7 linked regions of the Ovis aries genome follow. The protein of the gene in region 6 interacts with the protein of the main gene of each other region in a pairwise test. Links are inferred from orthologs where the notes say so. Each region holds a gene or a part of one and is shown on either strand. Other genes may lie near its edges. The genes, in order: MAGED1, SPAG8, DVL3, MGAT5B, ZBTB32, PITX1 and IPO13.

Region 1 (2,255 bases), on a different chromosome or scaffold from region 6:
TTCTTCTCACACAGGAAACTCTGGCACCTGGTTCATCATGTTCTCTGCTCCTATTCTTGCCCCCATCAAAGTTATTTCACTTTCCACATGGATAATATAACCAACACCCTTGAGTCCCCAGAACATTATCTCCAGGAACAGCTACATTCCCTTCCCTTCAACCACCCACTCTCTCAACTTTATTATTATTACCTGGAGTTCTACCTCCTGTCTTCTTAAATGCAACTGTCTGACCACCTACACCCTCTCTCATTTCATCTTTCAATGTCACTCCAAAACACCTAGCAGCATATCTATCACATGATTCACTTAAGTGATATTTAATACCATATCTATTTTTAGACCTCTTTTAACATTCACGTTCATCAATCACTCTTTTGTTTCCATATCCATTAGCTAGAAAGCTGATCTGCCCTTCAGGCTAGTACTGAGGCCCCATCTCTCCCATATAAACATGGTGATTTCTCATTAAACCCAGAAAAAACAGAGAACACATCTAATTTACTTTGCAGTTTCAATGTTTATTTCTGATACCAAAACTTGACAGCACACAAGGGAGGGGGTAAGCAATAGACAAGGAACAGCAAATAAATTTTTCCTGCATGCCACTTTCAGTCAACAGGATGTGGCTCTCTAGATAGCTGCGTTTAGAAGGATTCTGAGGCTTCATCCTCACTCAGGGGAAAGACAATTGCAACGTATTAGCAATATCTGTGAACATAAAGAAGAAAAAAAATTAAAAAATCAATGCATATACCAAGTAGTAAGGAATATAAATAACAAATACTGCTTCCCCATACTTCCTTCATCTCATCACCATGGGTTTCCTAGAACTCCCAGCTAGAGCACATAAATACATTCACATGGACTCTGTAACTCCCAGTGACCCTAAGTGCCCAATCCAAAGTGATATACCTACCCAAAATCTCACTCAACCCAGAAGAAACCGATGGCACCAAAGTTGGCAGCAAAGTTGGCACTGGCTGTACCACCAGGGCCAATAATGGGGCCGGCAAAGGTCTGAGGAAATCTGGAGCGAGCATTCTGGTGGTATCTGGCCCAGAAGGTAAATGGGATTCTGGACCAGGGATCTCCAAAATCTCCTTCCTCATCCCACGTCAGCAGCTCAAACTCAATGTCATCCCAGCTCCAGGGCCCAGATACGGCCTCATCTCCAATCCCCATGCGGGTTCTCGCCTCAGCCCGTGCCTCAGCCTCGGCTGCAGCAGCATCCAAAGCATCCAAGGCCTCATCTGCGGCCTCCATGAACTGTGCAGTCCAGTCACGAGGGTCTCTCTTCTGAACCTGAGATGAGGAGTAGAAAATAAAGCCCATGATAGTATTAGTTAATATTTATGAAGCACCCACTATATACTTAGCACCCTACTTTGTGCTACTGTTTACACAGTAACAACAAAAAATACCACCAACAATGTGGCACCTACCATGTGCAATACCTAAGAAAGATCTCATTCCTGCTCTGGACTTCTCCCAGCCAGTCATACTTCATCCCTTAACCTATCAAGTCTAGAGCTGTTCCTCTATTACCTCTGCAATGAATCGTAGCACTTTCATCTTGCTAGTCTCATGGTAGGATCGGAGGCCCCAGAGGAACTCATATTCAGGAGGGTTGCTGTTGGGTACTCGTCTGTAGTCTAGGTACCTTAGAAAGAGGAGAAAGGCCTTTGTTTCTACTCAGCCAAAATGAGAGTCCATCAATGCAAAATAATCCGAGATTCTGACACCTCAGATTTCAGGTAGCAACTCCCTCCAGTCTCATTCCTAAACACAGATTATTTACCCTCTAATAATTAGGCCTTCAAATTCCTGTGTTTCTACACTAGTCACCTAGGACTAGAGGATGACTTATGTAGAGTCATAGAAAGGACAACACTTTTTCACCCCCTCTGCCACAGTTCTGACTCCGGGTTGTTACAATCTTGTTACTGAACCACAGATAGGCCCATTGCAAAGCCTCTGCTAACCCAGCCTTAGGAATATCTACTGTGGGTGTGGTGGACAAGCTTCACTTGCAAGATAACTATACTGCAGGAAAATTCAGCCACAAGGAATATACTCAGTAAATATTCCTGAGTATATATGTATGCATATGCATAGGTATAGTTAATATAAGAAATGAGCAGCATGGGAAGGGCTTTCTGAGGCTGACCAGCACACAGAATTCATGAGGACAAGACAAGCCACTTAGGCATCGCTTACTTTTGTTTTACAAATTCATAAGTGAGAAGCTTCCT
Region 2 (4,215 bases), on a different chromosome or scaffold from region 6:
AGATGCGAACTTACTGGCTCCTAGGAGAGCGGAAAGGACCTGCTGGGCTCCTATAAACCCTACTTCTTCTCAAGCCAGACAATCCTCTGCTGCTGGTACCTGGGTGGGCAGTAGCCATCATCTCTCCACACATCAGAAGTGGACATTGTCACATGAGATGGAAACCAACATTCATAAAACCCCCACCTTATATGGAAACTTACCCTTTGCAGCTCAGTCTTGTACATATACCTGTCCCTCTCTGGCCTGGTCCCCTTCCTCCCTACCTTCTGTAAATATCTGTATCTAAACCAGAATATTTTGGCCAAATATAAAACAAACAAACAAAAACAGTTATGGGTGACATAGTCTGTGTAAGGGGCGGCTTCAAGGTTCTGGGGTATGGACACAGTAACTCACAGAATCACTGAATCAGCAGTCTCAGGATGAGAGAGAACACTTTTTATGTAAAACCCTGTCACCAAGTACAGACCAAATTCACTTCCTCCCCACCTCTCCAGTACAGAGAGGAGATTCCATATTCCACATCTACTTGCCTCCTCAGCCCTTAGACAGGAGTAGTTCAACACCCTCCACCACCCTGCGCCCCTCCCTGACAGGCAAGGGAAGATATTTTTCCTTGTTGGGAATAACTCTCAGGTTCAAAGGGCAACGGCTCCCCTAGAGACAAAGGCGCAGGTGTTGAGAAACTGCAGTTCTTCCGGAATGGTGTGTCTAGTGTCCTGATGTGACTGACACCCTGGAGGAATGCCAGAATGAGGATGGGGCCTGCTCTGCCCCAACCCAGGACAGAACAGCCTCCTCCCCTCCTTTCACCCACTCCCAACAGCCGGTCACTCTCACACACCGGTAGCTGAGGTGCCCTCTCTAGCCAGAAGGTTTCAGGCTGCTCTGTACGGTAGTCATGGAGCTGTGAGGGAAATACTGCGTAACTCTTGGCCTGAAGAGTTGACTCTTCAGCTCTTCAGCCTCTGGGCTGGCTGCTTTCCCACAGCCTGTCAGAACCCAGCTGTACAAGGGTGAGGGGTGGGGGTGACTGCGTTCTTACCTTTGTTGGGGCGGGAGGCCCTGCCTGCACCAGCTCCTTTTTGTAGTCGTGGTGTGTCACAGACTCGAACTCAAAGTCCTTCCTTGTGGGTTCCTGCTCTGCCTGCACCTCTTTACTACAGAGGCCTGGGGAGGGTCAAGGGCATTCTCCCCTGACTTTTGTCCTCCCCCTCCCCATTTCCCTTCACCCAGCCTCTCACCAGATCTGTTGGCGCAAGAGCATCTCCAGTATGGCTTCACGCTTCCCTGGGGGAGGTCAGGGAATGGACAGAATAGAGGAGGCTGCTTAAGAAACAGGCCCAGAAGAAACAAAGTTGGGGAAAGGAGGAAAAATTGGGTTTTGTCCTTACACCCCTCAGACAACCATAGGCCCACCTGATATTCTTTTCTCTACTGGACTCATTCTTGCCCATTCTCTCATGTTTCATACCTCGAATTGGCTGACAGTGGCTTGTTGGGGGCTGGTAGGAGTCTTTCTGGGTGGTGCAGGAGGACATGGGTGACTGTGGCTGCAGGGTCAGCAGTCCCCGGTGTCCGTGTCGGAAAAAGAAACTCTCAGAGCCATCCTGCATGACTGGGACTTGATCCAGGTAGTTGGTGGCTCTCTGTAGGCCCCAAGTTGAGTGACAATGATATCCTTCCTTGTAACCCACCCCCATCAACCGAGGGCAGCCTTCAAGAAAAGGGAGCAGGTCAAACCTTAATACCTCCTCCTCCCAGTTGTAGAGAAGGCACTGGCCCCGTGGCAGTGTTTCACTGAGAACCGTACTCTTCCCTTCAATGTCGGGGGGCTTCCACAGCCCTCGGGCACCAGGTTCTGAGACTTTCAAAAATTTCCAGGATTGTTTCTGCGGCTCCCAGTGACAGTGGTGTTTGCAGCCAGTATAATTAGGGATAAGATCTCCCCTGGGGTTTCTGAAGCCTACAGGAGCAGAGAAGTTGAACCTAGGGCCATGGCCATGGCCTGGGCTATGCCTAGAATCAACAGCAGGACCAAGATCAGTGCCTTGACCAGAGCCACCGGCAGGACCCTGACCAGAGCCACTACCAGGACCAGGGCCATGGCCAGGATCTCCACCTGAGCCACCGCCAGGGCTACCACCAGGACCAGAACTGGAGCTAGGTCCAGGGTCAGAGCTGGAGTCAGGACCAGGGCTAGAGCTGGAGCCAGGAACAGGGCCAGAACTGGAGCCAGGAACAGGGCCAGAACTGGAGCCAGGAACAGGGCCACGACTAGAGCTAAGGTCATTTGTAGTATAGGAATTCCGAGCAACATGGGAAACATTGACAGGCTGAAAGCCGAGTCTCCCGTGGCTTATCTTGTGGGTAAATCCGGGTCCAATGTAGCGCTCTGTCAGACTGTCAGAGGAGGGCTCCGTGAACAGGCTCCCATGAGAGTAGGGGGCTGGGCTCTTTGTCGATAATGCAGCTGCTCTGGCAGTGGAGGCGGCTGAAGCAGCTGCTGAAGCTGCTGCGGTTGCAGCTACCAGGGCCGATCTATGACGGCCATCCCAAGAAGAAAAGGGATCGGAACTGGACCCTAGTCTGTCCGAGCTGGGCTGTAAGTCTAAAGATCTGGGGGAAAAAAAAAAAAGTGAAAGCGGCAAAGCTGTCAGCACAGCAAAGTCTGTAAACTTCCTTGTCCCCTTCCGCCCGCAGCCAGAGCTGTGGCTCTCACCGCGACTGCGATCTGTCAGTAGACTCAGAGGTCTCCATCTTCCGACGCCAGCTACTGGGTTGCCATAGAGACGGCAAACCTTGCCAGGAGACTGCGCAGAACTAGAGCTAGGCGGACGTGGAGGGTGAGGGTGCTGACAAGTTCTCTGCGGGGCGGAAGTCTTAAACCCGCTGTGGTTTGCAATGGCTGCCTTCCGTCCGGATTCCCTTCCGCGTCAGCCCGGCTCTTAAAGTTCCGCTGGCCTCCATAACTAACCAGGCGTGCTGCGATTCATGGGGTCGCAAAGAGGCCGACTGAGCGACTGAACTGAACTGAACTGAACTGAACTGAAGGTGGTTCTTTGTGTTTTAGAACAGGCACAGGGCTGAGGTATCAGTCAAAGGCCTATTTCGTGTATTTATGGAGGAACATTTTTTCAAAGCTTTTAAGGATGAAGAGGCATCAGACAAGTAGCTCAAAAGCAAAATGGTGAGAATTGGGGATTAGCCAAAGGGTGGCCAATTTTTTGGGGTTTGATTATTTCTCTTCCAGTAAAAGGCCCTCACACTGACAGTCCTCCTTACAGACCCTGCTTAGAATGTGGCTTGGCAAGTCTTGGGATTCAGTCTCTTCCTATTCATTCAGGCGAATTCCTACTTTTCTAGAAGCCTGCCCCAGGTAGACCACCAGTCTTGAGCTCAGAGATATATAGGTATTTAAATACTCCTTTACAGAATGGGCTTCCTTAAGTGTCTCAGACCATAGTCAAGGGGGATCATAGTCTTGAATCAGTTTTCTTTCCTATTTGTAGTATAAATCTTCATATAGTTAAGACAAGGATCCAGAATTGAGGGAGAGCGAGTTTATTAGCTTCACAGGGTGCCGTTTTCCCCCATCCCATCCAAACATCCAAGTCAGGGGTCCTTGGTCATTTGGTAAGTTCAACCTGGAGGCCACTGGAGCTGTCGGCCCCCAAGTACGTGAATGTGTAGGTGATACACAGACTGTGCACCCAGCTTGCCATCGTTGATCACTGAAATGGAGTTTTGGGTTAGGGGGTGAGGATTATGGGAAGGTCAAAGAATGGTCACACAGAGGGGCAGGTGTGAGAATTCACAGTCGAGGGAAGGGCTCAGGGGCCAAACATCACTCACCAAGTCGGTATCCATCACCCAGCCCCTCAGCCTTTGCTGTTTTCTTGGCCACAAGGAGAAGGTGTCCAAGAAGCTACAGGGAAAGGGGAGGGAGATAGGTTGCTTCACTTACAGGCAGCAAAATTTCTAGAGGAATACAGGGCTCCCCCAGCCAAACCCTGGCCCTGTCCTTCCCACCTGTTGGTCTTCCTCTTCAGCCTGGCTGATCCGAGGAATGGGCTTCTTAGGAATGACCAGAAAGTGCACAGGAGCCTGAGGGGCCACATCCCGGAATACGAGACACTGGGAGCAGTGACAGGCCAGAGGCCACCATGTTACTTCAACCGGCTGGATGGTATTTATGAAATTCTTAGGGGG
Region 3 (3,236 bases), on a different chromosome or scaffold from region 6:
AGGGCAAGAAAGGGCAAACCTAGTTGCAAATCCTACTATTCCTAGAATTCTCCTGATAGAAACCAGAATATGGCAGGATGAAAATCTGACCTCCTACAGATCAGGGTCACAGTCTTAAGCCATGAAGCGACTGAATACAGGCTCGTCTAATTCTTGAACCAGCACTCAAGGCTTACTCCTACCTTTCTAGGAGCTTTGTCCTCAACACCTACCCTAAAGAAAGTGAAAGAAAGTGAAGTCACTCAGTCGTGTCTGACTCTTTGCGACCTCATAGACTGTAGCCTAACAGTCTCCTCCGTCCATGGGATTTTCCAGGCAAGAATACTGGAGTGGGTTGCCATTTCCTTCTCCAGGAGATCTTCCCAACCCAGGGATTGAACCTGGGTCTCCTGCATTGTAGGCAGATGCTTTACTGTCTGAACCACCAGGGAAGTCTCAATATTTACCGTACCCCCCTACCAATTTAGAGTAAATAATAATGATAATAATAATAGTAGTAGTAGTAATAATAATAGCTACCATTTATTGAGCACCTATTCTACTGTGTGCCAGGCACTGTGCTAGGCACTTTTCGTACAATATCTAATTTAAATCCTCACAACAACCCTGTGAGGTAGGTATTATTATCATTTTACATATGAGAAAACTGAGGCTCAGAGAGATTAAATAACTCTCTTATCACACAACCAAAAAGTAGTAGAGTTGGGATTCAAACCCAGAATAACCTGACTCCAAATCCCAAGCTCCTGTGAACTAGAGTAGAGGCAGAGGGGAGAGGAAGGACCAAATTCAAGAAAACTTGGAGTGGAATGGATATGATATACTGACTAGTAAAATATGGGAAGGAATTTAAGCCCATAAATGTTTCTAGCTGGTGAGCCTATTAAGAGTGATGAATGTAACCAGGATTGGAATTCAGGAGGAACATACTTGGCGGTATGGAGGGAAAAAGTTGAGCCTATCTGGACATGTCCAAGGAGATATCCAGCAGGTGATAAAAATACCGATCTAAAGATAAAGGGCAGTTAGGGATGGAGATATATATTGGGGAATCACCAGCATATCAATGGCAATTGACATCAGGATGGATGATTCTATTTTGGAAGTAAATAGAGAGGAAAGAGAAGTGGACCAATGATGGAATACAGGGACCCTTAAGGCATGAGCAATAGTGGAAGAATCCTCAAGAGAGTCAGAGATGGCGAAACCAGAGGAGGAAGAGAAGTACAGGAGGCAGCCCCATAGTAGTGGCTAGAGGCAACCATGATCTGGGCTGGGAGCAAACCTAGAGCTCCCAGAAGGAAGACAAGACTGAGTTACACTTCTAACACAGCCCTTAGGCACCACCCCCCCACCCCCGATCCCAGGAATATGTGTTAAATGAATGAATGCCAAAATACCCCTACCCTGGTTTACACCAAAACTTGGGAGCTTAGGACTTCATCTTACTCTTGATACCCCAGGTCTAAAAATATGGAAGCCTAGGTGAGCCAGAATTTATAGAAGAGGCTCATAGAGAAAGCTGTGATTTGTTTAAATGGGAGAATATGGTTAAGGAAAAAAAATCACCCCACAAAACCTGGTACTCTATCTGAAATCCCAGAAGTCCTCCTGCCCAACCTTGCTCTGAGTTATCATGATGACTGTGAAAACACTGTTAGTTGCCTGGGGTATCTTGTGCTGAGTCCAGCTTATGGGCTTTATTCAGATAGGAAGATGATGGGCACATGTGTGGGAGGTGTGAGGGCTATGAAGAGAGAAAAGTCAGGGGACCAGCCCCACAACCTGGGAGAGGACTGGGAGAGAGGGTCCAGCCCTCTGGTCAGGGACCAGCCCTGAGGCTTAAGTGAACTTGCATAGGCACGTGTGTGTGTGTGAGAGAGAAAGAAAGAGAGACAGACAGACAGACAGACAGAGAGGGAGAAAAAGGGAGAGAGGGAATGAGAGAGCAGAGAACTCTCTGGGGAAAGGGGAACAGAGGCTCTCGTAGGTGGGTGAGAGGCTGGGGTGATTCTCAGAAGTCTAGTGACTTGACATGTTTGTTGAAGTGTGGGTATGGGGGCTAAATATCCTTGGAAAGCCCTGAGGGGCTGCTGAAGCAAGGTTCCTGGTCTCCTCAGAGGCTGGGCCTCCTCTCGCTGGGGACTCACAGAAAGTCAAACAGCCCGAAATTCTTGGCTGCTCCAGGCCCAGGAAAAATTGGGAGAGGAAAAAAGAAAAGAAAAGAAATGTTTCAGCCCAGAGGTGAGATGAGCCTGCTGATTAGCAGGGTTAGGGGTCTGAAGGAGTCAGCACATGGGGCAGGCATGGGGTGGGTGTAGGTTTGGGTGCAGAGCAGAGATGTTCCCTGGGATCTGCTAGCAGCTCAAGCAACTGAGGGGGCCCTCTGGGCTTCTGCTAAGGTTGCGTGCAGGCAGGGTTAGTATGCATGGTTATTGGAGGGGACTGCAGCTCTAGGGTGCAGGGCTGAGGCAGTAGGTGGGGACAGTTAGGAGGAGGGGCAGATGAAGCAAGTCTTTTTTGGTGTCAGTATTAAGGGAAAAAGTCAAGAATCATGCATGCAAGATTAATAGAGGGATGATGCCGCTAAATGAATGGAGAAAAGGAACTGGGAGAGGGGAGGCAGGGATGACGGGTATGCAGGTCTTCAAGGGCACTTCTGGGGTCAATTCTTGAAATATGTGTGTACGGGGTTGGGGGAGGGTAAGGAGCAGCACTAGCCATTTGGGTCCCAGGGACATGAATGATCCTGGGAAGTCCTGCACAGCAGTTAGTGGGCAGAGGGACAAGCTGGGGCCGGTGGCAGGTTAAGGGCTGCATTGCCGATCAGTGGGTGCACCCCACCCTCGCTGCACCCAGCGAGCAGTTAGCGCGCCTGGATTTAGTTCCATTTATTTCCCTTTCAGGTACCAGACAAAATAAAAAAGACGGACGGAGAGAGGAACGCAGCCAGCCTGGGGCGGGGTAGGATGGTAGTGGGGGAGGGGCCCTGCTCACATCACATCCACAAAGAACTCACTGGGGTTTCCCATGGCCATGCGGAAGGACTGTCTGCTGGCGGTCAGTTCGGGGGGCACGGAGGCCAGGTCGCGGCCCGGAGGGGCTCCCGGGGGCCCCATGGCCGCGGGCGGTGGGGGCATCATCAACATGGGGGGCCCGTAGAGAGGGGGCACCCCAGGGGGGCCGTAGCTTGGGTGCGTGTGATGGCTGCGCAGGCTGCTGGCCAGCGAGTGGTG
Region 4 (3,500 bases), on a different chromosome or scaffold from region 6:
GTGCTCACTCCCTTACCCAGCGCCCCAGGCATCCTGGCCGCCAGCTTGTCTGGCATCATATGAAAATGGCCCCTTGGTTCTGTCCCCACACTCCATGGTGGGCACTGATGTCTCAGCCAGGGCTTGGAGCCTTAGTCCAGCCTCCAGAGCTTCTCTCTGCCACCATCCAAGGTGTCATAACCAAGGAGGATATTAAGAGTCCTGGCCCTAGAGTTAGATGTGGGTTCTAATCCCAGCCCTGCCCACTTAACTAGTTGGTCACACTAACCTCACAGTTGATGGTCAGATGAGAAAATATATGTGAGTACCTGGCAACAGTAAGCTCTGGCTGGATGAGTATTAACCATGGCTGCAACCTTAGAGGGTTGTCTTGGCATAGATCATGAGATGTCCCTTAATTCTCCCCCTTACTCAGTCACAGAACTCCAGGGCTAAGCTGGGCACACATGGCTAGAACACACCTACTTCCAATGTCCCCTAACTCTGGCTGTGGCCACGGGACTGAGACCTAGCCACGGGGCCATATGGTGCAGAGCTGTGTGTAACCTTCAGGAGATATGCCAAACCTGGCCTTCCTCCTCCTCCTCCTCCAAAGCCCCCGACCCCGCACCACCCGCTGAAGGGCAGATGTAATAACTGCACTCCGTGGTCACCTTAAACCACGAAGCAAGACTGCAGATGGGAACTAAACGCAGCGAGTCAACCAGGGGAGAAGAGCCCCAGGGGTCAACCCAACACTGACAGCTCCAGGGCTTGTCAACAGGAAGGAGGACACACTTCCCTCTTGTCTCAGTCAAGGTTAGTCAGGGCTTTTCTTTGACAGCTGGACCTAATCCATACAGCGTGAGAATCTTTAACCAAGATGGTCATGTGACAGCTTGACACGGGGTATGGGGGCTGCCCGATGGTCCCCACGATGGGCATCTTTATTATTAACCTTTAACCTCATGTCACCTGTCTTAGGTCAACTGTCCCTCCTAGGAGCTGCTCTGTTCCACACCGAGCTGGACCCTGACCTCCAGGCCCCAGAAAGAGCCCACCTGAGACCCCGATGTCCCCATCACCCTCCTCCCTTGGTCTGGTCCATCCACAGGTGCTACCAAGCCCAGAAAGCCCAACTTGAGAGCATCCGCAGGGGAGACCCTGTGGAGAGCAGGGAGCGGCAGGAGGTGGAAGGAACATGCAGCAGTCACCATACCTGGAGCTGCTTCGTTGCCAGGGGGGCAGAGAGAAAAGAGAGAGAACAGGTCAGCGGCCAGGTGAGCGGTAACGTCCCACACAGACGGTGCTTCTCGGAGGGGCTTTGTCTTGAAGCTGGGGTTCCAATCCCTGGTCCTCTCTTATTTCTCCCCTGCCTCCCACCCCCCAGAATCCCCACATGTAGCCTAAACCCCTTTGGTGGGTTAGAGTGTTTGTGTATCTACCCGAGCGAGGGTGGGGGATGAAGACGTTTGAATTTGTTGCAAAGAGTGGGGGCAGGAAGGGGAGTGAGGCAGGAGTCCCAGGCCGGTGTTTCCAACGGCAGTTCTTTTTTGACCATTAGTGGGGGCCGTTTCCACTGTCCAGGGCTGGGGGGTGGGAAGTTCCTGGGGGCTGAGGGTTGGTGATGGGATCTGGGGGCCGGCGGGTCTCACCTTCCAGATACTCGCCTCCTTGCCGTACACCACCGCCATGTTGCTGGCCTTGCCATCTTTGATGAGCTGCTTTTCTGTCTCATTGAGCTCCTCGGACACGAAGCCCATGAAGGAGTTGTCCGGGGTGTGAGCTGCAGCCAGATCACGAGGTCAGGAAGGGGCATGCTCTGGTCTACCCGGGACTGGCCCCATTGGAGGGGACACCCGTTTGGCAGGGAAGTGGAAGGGGGCAGGAGGTAAGGGGTGCGGTTTGGGTTGGGCGGTGGGGAGAGCATCCATCCATCAGGGCCCCGGCCCCCTTCCGCGGCATCTCTCACCGCCTCCCCACTCTCTCTCCACGCAGGTCTGTGCTCACAGGGCCCTGCTAAGAGGTCTTTCCTGACCCCAGCCCCTCTCCGTCTCCTTTCCCTGCCTTATCTTTTGCCCCAGAACTCACTGATCAGACACGACAGTGCATACTGATTTGTTCGTGTGTTACTGTCAGAATCTAAGAGGGCCGGAGCTGTCTGTGTCCCCGGCCCCTGGGAGCACCTGGCCCGGCTGGTTCACGCATGCGCGGACCCATCTTCGCGTTCACACCTGCAAGCTTCTGCCCCTGCGCTTCGCTTAAGCGCCCACCGCCCTTTTCCATGATGAGAGTATTCCGCTCCAGGGCCCCACTCGCACTCCTCTCCTCCCAAGAGCCTTCTCTGGGGTCTGAGTGCCCTCCCTTTAAGGGCCTGTCTGGCGTGCTTAGGTCTCCGGCAAAATGCGGATTCGCACCCTGACTCGCTTCCCAGAACCCAGAGCACCAGGGTCAGGATGTGCCCTTCAGCTGCGTCTCCAGTTCCTCGGCCAGGCTCCAGGCATATCACTGATTAGCTCTGTCTGCCGCGGCCGGCTGGAGAAGGCTATGGCACCCCACTCCAGTACTCTTGCCTCCAGTCCCAGGGATGGGGGAGCCTGGTGGGCTACTGTCTATGGGGTCGCACAGAGTCGGACATGACTGAAGCGACTTAGCAGCTGCGGCTGGCTAAAGGAGTGGGCACAGGTGCCATCCATCTGCAAGGACCATGGTCTCTCCTTTCCATGCAAAGGACCTCGAGCAGAATGCCTATGGTACCCAATTACATCTACTCTACCTTCCCTGTGGGAGAGGTTGCATGTGGGAAATAGGTTGGCAGCAGCCATATGGCCTTGATTTCCCAGAACAACCCTGAGGCCAAACACCCCCTTTCTTCATTTCAGATGCACGTTTTTCACATCTTAGCATTTCTGTAACTGAGATATACTTTTTTTTTTTCCCTTTTGGCCGTGCCACCCGGCCTGTGTGATCTTGGTTCCTCCACCAGGGATCGAAGCCGCGCACCTTGCGGTGGAAGCACGGAGTCTTAACCGCTGGACTCCCAGGGGAGTCCTGGGATGTATACTTTAATCAAATGTGTAGATTTGACATAGTATGTCTACCCAACCCCCTCAATACCCACAAAATTCTTAATATCTGGTGCATCTTAGAAGAGGCGGTGGTTTTCTATCCAGAAAGCTCATGGACTCTAGAATGTGAAAATCTGACCATTGTAAGGACAAGTCTTTGCTGGCTGCAAAAAAAATTATCTCCCCTCTGGCCTTCCCTGGTGGCTCAGCTGGTAAAGAATCCACTTGCAATGCAGGAGACCCTGGTTTGATCCCTGGGTCGGGAAGATCCCCCGGAGAAAGGATAGGCTACCCACTCCAATATTCTTGGGCTTCCCTGGTGGCTCAGATGGTAAAGAATCCACCTACAATGTGGGAGACCTGGGTTCAATCCCTGGGTTGGGGAAGATCCCCTGGGGGATGGTATGGCAGCTCTCTCCAGTATTCTTGGCTGGAGAATCCCCATGGACTGTA
Region 5 (4,101 bases), on a different chromosome or scaffold from region 6:
GAGATGGACGGCTTGCGGTGCCGACCTGACTCACACAGGTTGCTAGTTTACCTGTGGGAACAAAAGGCAAAGGAGGGCAGGGCTGGGATTCCCAGAGCCGGGTCACTGGAACACTCAGGCTGGGGCCATAGTGGCGCTGAGGCAAAAGCACCCTCACTCTACTCACCTGTGTGCCTGTGATCAGACTCTTCCGGCTCCCCAGGGCTGAGCTGTGTGGGGCCCTGGGGGAGGGAACCTGGAGGGAACAGAGTGAAGCAGGCGCCCTGCTCAAGCTGGACTCCTGGAGCCCTGGCCTCAGTCCCAGCCTCGAGACCACGTTACAGGGTGCATGCCAGGCAGTGAGGGGCTTACCTGGGGTGGGGCTGGAGGAGGCCAGCTGGTTCTGGCTCCAAAGGCCTTTATGGAGGTTTAGGGGCAGTGGGATCCTGGGGGTGGGATGGGGAAGAGTTACAGCCTTGGTTACACCTGGGATCCTGCAGATCCCTTTCTGGGGAGGGAGGAGTCATAAGTCCTCTGTGGGGCCTGGGCTTTGGCTTGCCCTGTGGTGACAACTTCTTGTCCTACCACAACTCAGGAAATGTATAGTAGAGATAAGAGATGTGGTACCCTTCCACCCATCACTGCTGCCTCTCCTGAACCACTCCCTCCCAGCCAGAGGTCTTCCATAAGCCCTTCGACTCACCTCTGGTCCCGAGGCCAGACCTCTTGCCAGGCTCCAGTCATAGGGATGCTATGGGAGAAGGGAGTGCCATATCTAGGTGGCAACAGAAGGATGCTCCACAGGGCAGGCTGGCCCTCCCCCAACCAAGGGGCCTCAGCCCACCAAGGGCTGGGGGTGGTGCCAGTTTGGAAGGAACCTGCTGGGGGAAGGGGGCCAGGGAACTCCCGCAGACTTTCCTCAGAGCCCTTTGCACTGTCCCTCAACCACATGATTACTTCTTGCTTCCCACTGACTCTGCCATGGCCAACAAGGGCTTGGTGGAGTTGCTCCTTTGGTTTCATCTGCTCCCCTCGACCCTCCAGAGTTGCCTCTGCCATGTCAGGGCTCTCTCTTGGCGGCCGCGGCCTGTGCAACGTCTCCTGCTCTTTCCCACCAGTTCTAACAAACTTCTCTGGTCTCTGCTTCTCCCCAAAGGCCCCCACGCCTCTCATCGAGTCCCTTGTGTGTTTCTCTAGCTCCTCCTGTTGGTTCTTCAGCCCTGGACCCAGCTCTTCTCTAGCCATGTCCCTTCGAGCCCTAATGCATGCCTCCTCCAGGGACTGCACCCCCAGTGTTCTGGCTGCCTCCTCAAGGGGCCCCAGTTCCCCAGGATGCAGCTCTAGACTCTCCCCGTAAACAAAGTGCAGAAGTTGGGCAAAGGTGGAAGGGCTGATGCCTTTCACCACAGCCCAGTGGCCCCTGCGACCCAGTTGCTGGCTCACACCTGCCAGGACCAGGCTGTGGGCAGGGAACTCCTGGCTCCCCACTGTGATCAGGGTATCACATAGTGCTGGCCGGAGCCTGGCTGCTAACCGTACCAGCCGATCAGAAGCATAGGGACTAGGCAGTCTTGTTGGGGACAGGGGCATTGTGCCTTGCCTTGGTACCAATCTCAGAGGTTCTGAGAGAAAGGCCACAGTGTAGGGTCCGTGGTGAAAAGGGGAGGGAGGAACCGCATACTCAAGCCTGTGGAGGTGAGGGAAGAAAGTGAGTTGCTGGATTTGAATCAGTTCTCTGTCCTGAATGGAGCAGAAAAAATGACCCAAGAGAAAACCCGAGGCTGTTCAGAATCATAGCAGGTGTGGAGGTGGTGAGAGAATGGAAATTAGACCAAATTCAGGACTTAAAAGAACAAGGATTGCACATTGAAGAGCTATCTCAAGTAGTGGATAGATGGGTCCTGCCAGTTGGCAATGTCTGACTTAAGGGAGAGCAGAGTTGGCAATGTCTGACTTAAAGGAGAGCAGACACTGATATTTCTGCTTCTCCAAGCTCCTCTGCAGGGAAAGACCCCCGAACAGGCCCCAGCTCTCATTCCAGACAGGATCACCACAAAACCCAGTCAGCCCTGTAAGTTAGGGGTGGAGCTAGACACAGTTTCATGGGAGTTTAGAAAGCCAGTGTGTCCTCCTCCTGCAAGCCTGTCATGTGGGGCTGAGGGTCCTGAGAGGAAAAAAGGGCAGCAAGATGGGGTCATAGCTGCAGAAAGCAGGCTCAAGGCATCAACTGATCATCTCCCTCAGGATGAAACTTCTAGAAACCATCCTCAGAGAAAGAACTGGAAGTGACCAAAAGCTCCCATGCAGTGAGATAAAGAGAGCAGGTTGGAACCCACAGGAGAGAAGGCTCCTCACCCAGGGATGGAGAGATGTCGGAAAAGGCTTTGACCTTGGAGGAAGCAGGCGAAAGGGAAATGGAAACTGTGGAGGGAGAGGCTGTTTCCTCTCAAGATAAGGATAAGGAGACAGTTCAATTTTGTTTTTCATAAGCCAAAAGTGAAGATTAGAAAGACAGAACCCAACAAGGCAGAAGTTTGTCACACATCAAAACCACCACCTTGGCTTTTAAGAAGAGAACTGGGAACCCAGATACAAAGAGACAGACCTAAGTGTCCCAGAGCCCAGCAGGCATATTCCTAAGTGTAGGCTCACCCTGAGTACAGATCCCGTAGAGGGAGGAATTACTACTTGGACACCTCACAGGGAGGGGTACAGGCTGGCAGGAAGTGGACAGAAAGAGGAATGTAATGGGAGGAAAGTCTCAGTTGGGGAGAAGCAACCACTCACCGGTTGTAGCTTCCTCCTGGACACCGCATGCTCTGAACTGCTGCTGGGGCTCCTGGCCCCCCTACTCTGGAGCTAGCCCCGCCCCTGACTTCACAGTCTTCCATTGGGTGTCCCAAGTATCAGTCTGCCACAGTCCCCCAAGGGGTGTGGTCTTACACCCCTGGCTGAGCTTCACCCCTCCAGGAGAGACCACTCCTCTCCTTCCAGAACTCAAGCATTCTGCCTCCTGACCTCTGGTCTTATTTCATCTGTGAATTTCTGGAGTCAAAGAATTATATCTGAAGCAATAAGAACTTTGGGATAATCAGACCTGCATTTGACTCTCATCTCTGCCATCTGCTAGTTGAGTCACCTTGGGCAAGTCACCTCTTTGAGCCTCAGTTACTTCATCTGTGAAATAGGGATAAGCTCTGCCTACCTCATTATGAGGTGGGGTGAAGATGAAATGACATGATGTATGTGAAAGTGGTTTCTCAGTACGTAGCATCATTCAAATAGTATTAGTTCTGTTTCTTAGAGGTGTCAGTAGAGCTCTAGCAGCTGGAAGCTCTTTATACTACCTCAAAAGTAAAAAGGACTGAAACATCTGGATTCTAAGAAGAGAGCGAAAGAGGGCCAAAAGCATGCCTCCTCCTCCCTCTCTCTGACTTGGTACTGGGAACCTTCCACTCCTCTGTGGGAATGACCCAGGCCATCTGGGCCATCGCTGGGGACAGGGTATGTGAGTGACTCAGATCCTCCCATCACGCTTTGAAGGGGGCAACCCCAGGAAGGGCCTGCGGTGGTCTCCAAAGAGAAAAACTTTTCTTGGGCTGGTGACAAATGACATTTCTCTGAAATCAGGACTTGCGGGGTTTCTTTGACTTCCTGCCCAGGGGATGAAGGTCCTCGGAGATTTGCCCTCTTTTCACAGTTTAGCACTCCTTAACCTGGGGAAAAGATGAGGTCTGAGAGACTCACATTTCTTTTTGTTTATTATTTCTTGCAGATTTTTCATGCATAGAACAGGTATTGCTAGATAGCTTACGATATGTGCTTGACATATGCCTAATAAATAACTAGAAGAGTAACAAGTCAGGCACTGGTAGGCTGTTCTGATGACAAGACCCAGTCTGCTTTCCCCAAGGCTTCTCTACTAGATGCTAGAGTCTGATTCCCTCCTAGACTCAAATATTATGTCTCTCAAACTCCTGTTTCGCCTTTTGGCTTCAGGACCCCCAAATGTTCAGACCACCCTTCTACTCTCTGTTGAGACCTAACATACCTTCATTCTACCTCTCATTCTAGCTTGGGTCCAAGCAGATGTTATCCCTTCCTAGATCAGACAGGGTGTGC
Region 6 (3,500 bases):
TGCTCGCCCGGGTGGTTCCGCGCGCGCCTCGCGGGGAGCCGCTCTTACCTGGTAGCTCCGTGTCGGACGACTCGCTGGCGGAGTTTTCGAGAGGCTCGCGGGGGTCGGCCGTGCGGGCTAGGTGGAAGGCGGGCCCCATGTCGTGCGGCTGCGGCGGTGGCGGCCGCAGTCCCTCTGGCAGCCGCTCCAGGCTCATGCCCCCCTTGAAGGCGTCCATGGAGGCGGGGACCGAGGCGGGCGCTCCGGGGGCCGGGGCTGGGCGCGCCCGGCCGCCCCGGCGGCGACCTGCGAGGACAAGAGCGCAGCCCCTAAGCGGCTGCCCCCCAGGGCTGCCCGCGCCCGCAACGACGCCGCGCTCGCCCCATGGGCCGCCCGGGGCTGCGGGGCCAGGCGGGCGGCAGCGGCAGCGGTTTCTCGCGACCCGGGGGCCCGGCTTCGCGCTCCGCGCTGCGCTCCTGCCGCTCGGGCCTCAGCCGCCCGCCCGGCCCCGGCTCCGGCTCCCGATCCGGGGCCGGTTTCTAAGGCTCCGGACGGCGCCGGCAGAGTCTGTCTTAAAGCGACAGCGCGCACCGCCAGGTTCCAGCAGTCCCTGCGCCAGGGGTGGTGGGTGGGGTGGGCCCGCGGGGGAGGGGGCTGGGAGGGAGGGAGCGAGCGAGAGAGCGAGGGAGCGCGGGCGGAATCCAGCCCCGAGCCGCCCGCGCCGCCGCGCCCTCTCTGCCGCCCTCCCTCCCTCTCTGCCTGCCTCGCCCGCGCCCTCCCCCTCCGCAGCCACCTTCCCGCCGCCTCCCCCCTCCCGCGGCCTCGCCGCGCCTCACCCTCCTTCCCCGGTGGCACACTGAGTTCTCCCTCGGCCGCACAAAAGAAACGCATCTGGCTTGCAAGCCCCGCGCGGCTCGTGCCCACCTCAAGCCCCAAATGACTTGTTTCGCTCAGAAATCAACTCCTGTCTGGGCCGCCTCGAAGTTCCGAGCCTCTGGCGAGAACAGCCCGGGATGAGTGAACGTTCACCGAGCAGGATCCAACCGACCGGGAGCCTGCGAGTCAGCGCCAGGGCGGGGGCAGAGCCCGGGGCTCGTTCCGGCAGCTCCCAGCGGCGTCCTCGTCGAGGGGCCGCGGCCCCTCCTTCCCCGGGATCTTCTCCCGGGACCCGAGCCAGGCTGAGTGACAGCAGCCTGCGCTCTAATGGGCCCCCGGATGCTGCCTCCTAATTAGCTTGGACCCTCTCCCCCAAGGCTGCTTCTCAGGCCTACCCCCTCTGCACCGCAGTCAATTTTCCGGGATTGGGATAGAACCGATGGCTTCTAATCAGACGAAACGTTTCTGTTGGCTCCAGGCCGCTGTCGAGTGCAGCAGGAGACCCCAAGAGCCCTGCCAGGCCCCCACAGCCTCTTCTCTCCCCTTGTTTTGCACCTTCAACGGTCTGGCCAAATCCGCCAGGTCCCGGCCTTGGCCACCACAGGGTGGGCCTCTCTCTGCCCCCTTCCCAGCAGGTTCGCAGGGCCTCACTTTGGCTTCTCAAGTGTGGCAGGCACAGGCCCGACAGGCCAGGTGACTGCAGTTTCCAAACAGGCCAGGAAGCCTAGGACAGTCTTGGAGCTTCTCTTAGCTACAACGGTAGCTAAGCTACAGCACCAGTGGGCACTCCATGAGCACAAACACATTCCCCTTCCCATCCCTTAGAATGAGTCCCTCCTTGAATCCTCCTACTTCACTGAAGTTTGTTGAAGGATTTTGCTTAACAATTGTTAACTGGTCCTGAGATGTCAGAGTCTTGAGCAAATAGGTGACCGCTGGGATGGTAGGGTGCAGCCCTGACCTGTTCCTCTAGCCACAGGTGGACCCCAGGGTGCCCTTTGCCCCTCTTCTGTGTGCTCCACCAGACAGAAGCAGCACTGGGCAGGATGGTGGTGGGGGTGGGGTGTGAGGCCCGGAGAAGTACTGTGGTCATCTCCAGGCCCAGTGCCTCACGCTTGGGCCCAGGGCATCCTAATGTTCTCCTGGGATCTCTGCCTGGGGCTGACTGTGCAGGCTGTCAGGCTCTGGGACCCTTAGGAGTCCCTTTCCTCACCTGGCTCCCTATCACCCTGGCAGTCACCTGCCTCCACCCCAGGCTGAGCTCTTTGGTGAGGATTGTGGGGGCAGGGGCGTGGGCAGGGTAGAACCAGGCCTGCCTCTCACTCCCTTGGCCCCAGTCCAAGGCCCCCAGCTCTGGGTCCTGGGGAGCAAGCACAGTTCTAGGGCAAGCCCACTCTCCCTGGGTGCCTGTGACCACAGGGGGCAAACTCGGAGGCTGGGGCCACAGCAGAATGCATCCAGGAGTTTGGGCTGGGGGAGTGGCTCTAACTTCTCCGAAGGGAATTTCCTGTAGGCTGAGACCCCCAGGGAGAAAGCATACTTGGTGTGTAGGGGATGGGGAGGGGTACCTGGAGACAGGGAACAGTGGTTGCTGAGCATTTGGCCTCAGCCCCATCTTTGACCACAGTTTCCAGTTGAATCTCCTAAAGGAGCAATACCTCCTTTCAAGGATGTATTTAGGTGTTATGCCATGCCAGTGAGTGCCCCTCCGCATGCCACCTTCCTGGTAGCTGCCTTACTTCGAAGGGACAGTGAGCCACCCAGCGTGCCAGGATCACAGAAGCATGCAAATACTTATATGTACTGCATACCTGTACAGGTGTGCTGTGCACACATACACACACATACTCACTGCGCCCACACAGGGGAGTGCTGAATACAGTCACATACATGTACACACAACCAGGCCTCTGAGCTCCAGAACACTGATGCTGTCTGGCGCGAAATCTGGCTGAGAGGGGTGTGTTCTAAGCCCACCAAGTGTCAGGCCAAGGTGGGAAGCACAGTGTTCCTCTGGGAGGGGTCGTGAAATGAATGGTCTGCCTTTGGGCGTCCAGAGGCTGGCCATCACAACTCACATTCCCCAGAGGGTCTAAAGAGTCAGGCGTTCCGCGGATGGGGACTGTTTTGCGACTCTGCAGCTCTAGCTACTCAGTCTGAGGGACTTGTGTCCCTCACTGTTGATGCATTTAATGCAGTTATTGAGCACCTGCTGTGTGCCCCTCCAGATCCAAGCCTCTGGCAGTGCTCCAAGTAGTCACAATCCCTATATTTGGAAATCTTGATGCCTGCTGTGTGGACTGAAAGGTCCTCAGACTATTGCGGGTGAAGCTCCATATCCCGGGGCCCTGAGCCCTAGGGAGGGGCTGAGACTAGTGGGGGTTGCCCAGGGGTGTTTTCTCCACTAGAGTCAGCGCTGAAGGAGTAGGGGTGAGGAACTGATCCAGAGGAGGCCCTGGCCTGATCTCGGGTGCTGGCTGGAGAAGGGACCTGGGGTGCTCTCTCCCCTGGCCGCTATCCTGGGCAGAATAGGGGCTTCTTGCACACACTCACAGATGCAACACACACACACATGAGACAGGAGGCAGCTCTCTTTCAGGAATAAGAGCAGGGACTCAATGTTCCCTTGGCTCTTGCTGTGTGAC
Region 7 (3,096 bases), on a different chromosome or scaffold from region 6:
CTCACTTCTAGCCCAAGGCCCCAAGTCCTTTACCTAGGAAACCTCCCACTGCCCTCAGAAATGAAACTTCCTCCAGGAAGCCTTCCTCACTGGTTCCATTCTCCCAGTTTAGTGAGAATTATGGTTGCTATGGACTACATCAGCCTTTGTTCAGACAGAAAAAGGCACGGCATGATTAGTGGCCTAGTATTCAGCACCATTGGTTATATAAGTGTATGCATGCATAAACACTGGGACTAATTTAATTTAGGGGCAGGATGCTGACACTCGGCAGTCACCACCTACCCCAAGGGCAAGGGCAGTATTTGGATGGCTCCAGTCTAGGCAGCTTGGCTGTAGTAAAGCTCCTTTCACTCTAAAAGCTGGAGGTTTTAGATGGAGGTTGGCTCCATCATGCCCTACCAAGGCCTGGGTCCAAGCATCCTCCCATCCTTCCCCCAGGTCATCTGAGGTCACCCAGTCAGGTGGTGGTGGCAGTGGAAAGGAAGCAGAGACAGCAGTGCCGTGAGGGTTCAAGTTTACTCTTTGGGGATAAGGAGGGGTGAGGAGGTGTGGGTGGGACGGGGCGCCCCTCAGTAGTCAGCTGTGTAATCTGTGCCATGTAGCCCCCGGCACAGCAGTGTGAATTCCTTCACCATCTCCTTCACCCGCCTCTTGTTTACTCGCTCGCTGAAGGAGAGAAGGGAGAGCAAGTTATCACCACCACCCACCACGGCCTCCGCCTCCCCGTGACCCGAGCCCGGGCCCTGCCAGCTCTGCTCACCGAAGGATCTGTTGGCTGAAGGTGTCCTTCTGTTCGGGGCTGAGTCGGGCAGAGGGAAAGCCAGGTGCCTGAAGCGCCTCCTTGATCCACACGCTCAGGAGGCTGAAGCAGTGTTTGTTCAGAGCAAACAGGATGTCGGCAAAGCAGTCCATGAGGCTGCGGGAGGCCTGGCCCCCAATGGCCTGAGGGAGATGGGTTCTCAGCACACCAGGGCCTTGCCCCGTCTGCAGCAAGAGAGCCTAGCCACACCACCCACTCCCGGGCAGTTCCTCAGCCACAGTGCACATGATGAGTGAGCGTTACTTGACACACGATAGCTGATCCTCACAGCGACCTAACAACTTCCAGCCATTTACTTGATGAAGAAACAGAGCTTAGGGAACCGAGATGCAAGCTTGCCAGGAGGACAGCTGCCTCAGCAGTGAGGGCCGCCCCATCCCCAAACCCGGCTGCCCCACCCGCTCCGTCTCACCTCCAGCACTGCTACGAGCAGTATGCGGCCATCTTCCTGCACCACCTTTCCCACAGGCTCTACTTCCCCACACCGAGGCAGCAGCTCTGTCTACAGAGGATGGAGAGGCCCGTCAGCCCCCCTCTCCCCCATCTCCCTGGAGACAAGGCCTGCACACCACACCCCTACCCCACAGAGTCCTGGGCCGGGTGGGTGGGGTGTAAGGACGGTGCAGGGTTTGGGGGTCAGCACGGGACTCACAAAGAAGCCACAGGAGGCCTTGACAGTAGGTGCTTCGGGGAACTTGAGCGCCAGCACAGCTGAGAGAGGCAGAGGCAGATCAGGTGGGGCTCAGGGATGCTCCCGAGGGGGCCCCAGGCCCACCTGTCCACCTGGCACCCCACTTACCACATTGGAACACAGCTTTGACATCGAGTCGTTCACATAGGAACAAATCTGGCTTCCGCTTCAGAGCCTGTAGGAGGTGGAGCTGGTAAGCCCAGCCCTAGTCGACTCTAAGAATCATCCTCCCACTCACCTGCCACGCAGGCCCCAACCTCACACACCACAAGTGAAGGCTGCCAAAACCAGCCACCCAGCCATCTCGGGAACGAGACCACTCCAGAGTTCAGTGTGTCAGGAGGGGAGCAGCCAAGGGATGCCATGTACGTGTATGTGTACATGAACGCACATGTGCATGAGAGAGGTTGGGAGTCATAATGCCACAGCCTGGGCCCCAGTCACCCCCGAGCACACACATCACCCCACCCCACCCCCCACCACAGGGCCAGACCTCCTGCAGGCTCCAGGTTGCCAGCAGTGACTTCACTTTGATTCACAGAGGCAGTTGAGGCCCCCTTGATTGTTATCAGGGCAGAGATGGCAGCTGGACAGGGAGCCCAGTTCACAGCCCCCCTCTTATGTCCTGCCTGCATTCCTCAGACACTCTCCAGCTTAGGAAGAGGAAAGGCAGGGCAGGAGCCCGGGAGCCGCGGCCCCACCTCGCCCAGGACAGCCTGTGTCCGGGCCCTTCTCATTCATACCCAGCCCAGGAGCCAGGGCTGCCATGTCAGGGGAAGTGGATGGAGTATAGGGGCTGAGAGCTCACCCCAAGTGGTACCAAGGCGCGAATGGCACATCCTCGGGTCATAGGAGATGCTCTACACAGCTCCCACAGTCATCAAGCACTGCTGTCCCCCAGCAGCCCCCCAATGCATTCCACATCAACCCCCAACCCTCCAGCCTTCATATACCTTCCACTCCCTCATTTTCACTCAAGCGCAAACAGCCCCACAGGCCCCTCACTTAAAACGCCCTACTTACCCTCTATCACACCTCAATCACATCCCTTGTATACACCACTCTCCCCATTTGCAACACACCCTCGCTACACATTCATCCCAAGCCCAACCCTGTATCCCCAAACCATATGCACACACCCAGGCCCTCACCCTCCCCAGTTCTCTAGCACGCACACTCTCCCCATGCACACCCACGCTCAAATGTCCTCGCCCAAAGATACACCCTCACACACATGTCCACCCAGGCCCAGAGCACACTGTCCATTCCCACTCCTATACCCCTCTACTAGGCTGTAAGTGCCAAGAGGGCAAGAACCGTGTCTGCTTTTGCTCACCATTATATTCTCAGCACCTACCACATGATCAAGCACGTTTAACACACTCAAAAAATATTTGTGGAGTGATTAAACAAAGAAACACATCACAGACCCCAACCCATAGGAGCCCCCAACTCACAGGATCTCCCTGACACACATACTAACCCCACATTCCCACAGCCCGACACATGTAACTTCCCAAACATACAACCCTCATACAGACACACCACTACCATGTATACTCCTACCCTCCATTACATGCAC

The links.
Region 1: the proteins of PITX1 (region 6) and MAGED1 interact in binary tests that used the Homo sapiens proteins (3 or more experiments, as listed by UniProt). The link is inferred for Ovis aries from reciprocal best matches to the Homo sapiens genes PITX1 and MAGED1.
Region 2: the proteins of PITX1 (region 6) and SPAG8 interact in binary tests that used the Homo sapiens proteins (3 or more experiments, as listed by UniProt). The link is inferred for Ovis aries from reciprocal best matches to the Homo sapiens genes PITX1 and SPAG8.
Region 3: the proteins of PITX1 (region 6) and DVL3 interact in binary tests that used the Homo sapiens proteins (3 or more experiments, as listed by UniProt). The two-hybrid records come from large-scale screens. The link is inferred for Ovis aries from reciprocal best matches to the Homo sapiens genes PITX1 and DVL3.
Region 4: the proteins of PITX1 (region 6) and MGAT5B interact in a two-hybrid assay, tested with the Homo sapiens proteins (2 studies listed by BioGRID). The link is inferred for Ovis aries from reciprocal best matches to the Homo sapiens genes PITX1 and MGAT5B.
Region 5: the proteins of PITX1 (region 6) and ZBTB32 interact in a two-hybrid assay, tested with the Homo sapiens proteins (2 studies listed by BioGRID). The link is inferred for Ovis aries from reciprocal best matches to the Homo sapiens genes PITX1 and ZBTB32.
Region 7: the proteins of PITX1 (region 6) and IPO13 interact in binary tests that used the Homo sapiens proteins (3 or more experiments, as listed by UniProt). The link is inferred for Ovis aries from reciprocal best matches to the Homo sapiens genes PITX1 and IPO13.

What each region holds. Positions count from the first base shown.
Region 1 is NC_056080.1:53,606,162-53,608,416, forward strand, and holds the end of MAGED1 (melanoma-associated antigen D1), read right to left. Parts: coding exon 2,221-2,255; intron 1,664-2,220; coding exon 1,549-1,663; intron 1,306-1,548; coding exon 928-1,305; 3' UTR 920-927; intron 712-919; 3' UTR 501-711; downstream 1-500. UniProt on the Homo sapiens protein: Involved in the apoptotic response after nerve growth factor (NGF) binding in neuronal cells. Inhibits cell cycle progression, and facilitates NGFR-mediated apoptosis. May act as a regulator of the function of DLX family members.
Region 2 is NC_056055.1:52,733,887-52,738,101, reverse strand, and holds SPAG8 (sperm-associated antigen 8), read right to left. Parts: upstream 2,801-4,215; 5' UTR 2,764-2,800; coding exon 2,726-2,763; intron 2,623-2,725; coding exon 1,755-2,622; intron 1,653-1,754; coding exon 1,478-1,652; intron 1,294-1,477; coding exon 1,248-1,293; intron 1,164-1,247; coding exon 1,049-1,163; intron 1,010-1,048; coding exon of another isoform or gene 911-1,009; coding exon 848-910; intron 740-847; coding exon 563-739; 3' UTR 427-562; downstream 1-426. Other genes in the region: NPR2 (atrial natriuretic peptide receptor 2), read left to right, coding at 1-56; adenosine 5'-monophosphoramidase HINT2, read right to left, coding at 3,646-3,737, 3,859-3,931, 4,036-4,140. UniProt on the Homo sapiens protein: Microtubule inner protein (MIP) part of the dynein-decorated doublet microtubules (DMTs) in cilia axoneme, which is required for motile cilia beating.
Region 3 is NC_056054.1:203,768,112-203,771,347, forward strand, and holds the end of DVL3 (segment polarity protein dishevelled homolog DVL-3), read right to left. Parts: coding exon 3,020-3,236; coding exon of another isoform or gene 2,994-3,019; exon of another isoform or gene 2,179-2,993; coding exon 2,147-2,178; 3' UTR 501-2,146; downstream 1-500. UniProt on the Homo sapiens protein: Involved in the signal transduction pathway mediated by multiple Wnt genes.
Region 4 is NC_056064.1:54,259,288-54,262,787, forward strand, and holds part of MGAT5B (alpha-1,6-mannosylglycoprotein 6-beta-N-acetylglucosaminyltransferase B), read right to left. Parts: intron 1,766-3,500; coding exon 1,635-1,765; intron 1-1,634. UniProt on the Homo sapiens protein: Glycosyltransferase that acts on alpha-linked mannose of N-glycans and O-mannosyl glycans.
Region 5 is NC_056067.1:45,734,591-45,738,691, reverse strand, and holds the start of ZBTB32 (zinc finger and BTB domain-containing protein 32), read right to left. Parts: upstream 2,801-4,101; 5' UTR 2,796-2,800; coding exon 2,767-2,795; intron 1,667-2,766; coding exon 683-1,666; intron 426-682; coding exon 1-425. UniProt on the Homo sapiens protein: DNA-binding protein that binds to the to a 5'-TGTACAGTGT-3' core sequence. May function as a transcriptional transactivator and transcriptional repressor. Probably exerts its repressor effect by preventing GATA3 from binding to DNA.
Region 6 is NC_056058.1:44,096,455-44,099,954, forward strand, and holds part of PITX1 (pituitary homeobox 1), read right to left. Parts: intron 286-3,500; 5' UTR 218-285; coding exon 49-217; intron 1-48. UniProt on the Homo sapiens protein: Sequence-specific transcription factor that binds gene promoters and activates their transcription. May play a role in the development of anterior structures, and in particular, the brain and facies and in specifying the identity or structure of hindlimb.
Region 7 is NC_056054.1:18,605,408-18,608,503, reverse strand, and holds the end of IPO13 (importin-13), read right to left. Parts: exon of another isoform or gene 1,700-3,096; intron 1,690-1,699; coding exon 1,623-1,689; intron 1,535-1,622; coding exon 1,476-1,534; intron 1,326-1,475; coding exon 1,236-1,325; intron 946-1,235; coding exon 764-945; intron 670-763; coding exon 573-669; 3' UTR 501-572; downstream 1-500. UniProt on the Homo sapiens protein: Functions in nuclear protein import as nuclear transport receptor. Serves as receptor for nuclear localization signals (NLS) in cargo substrates.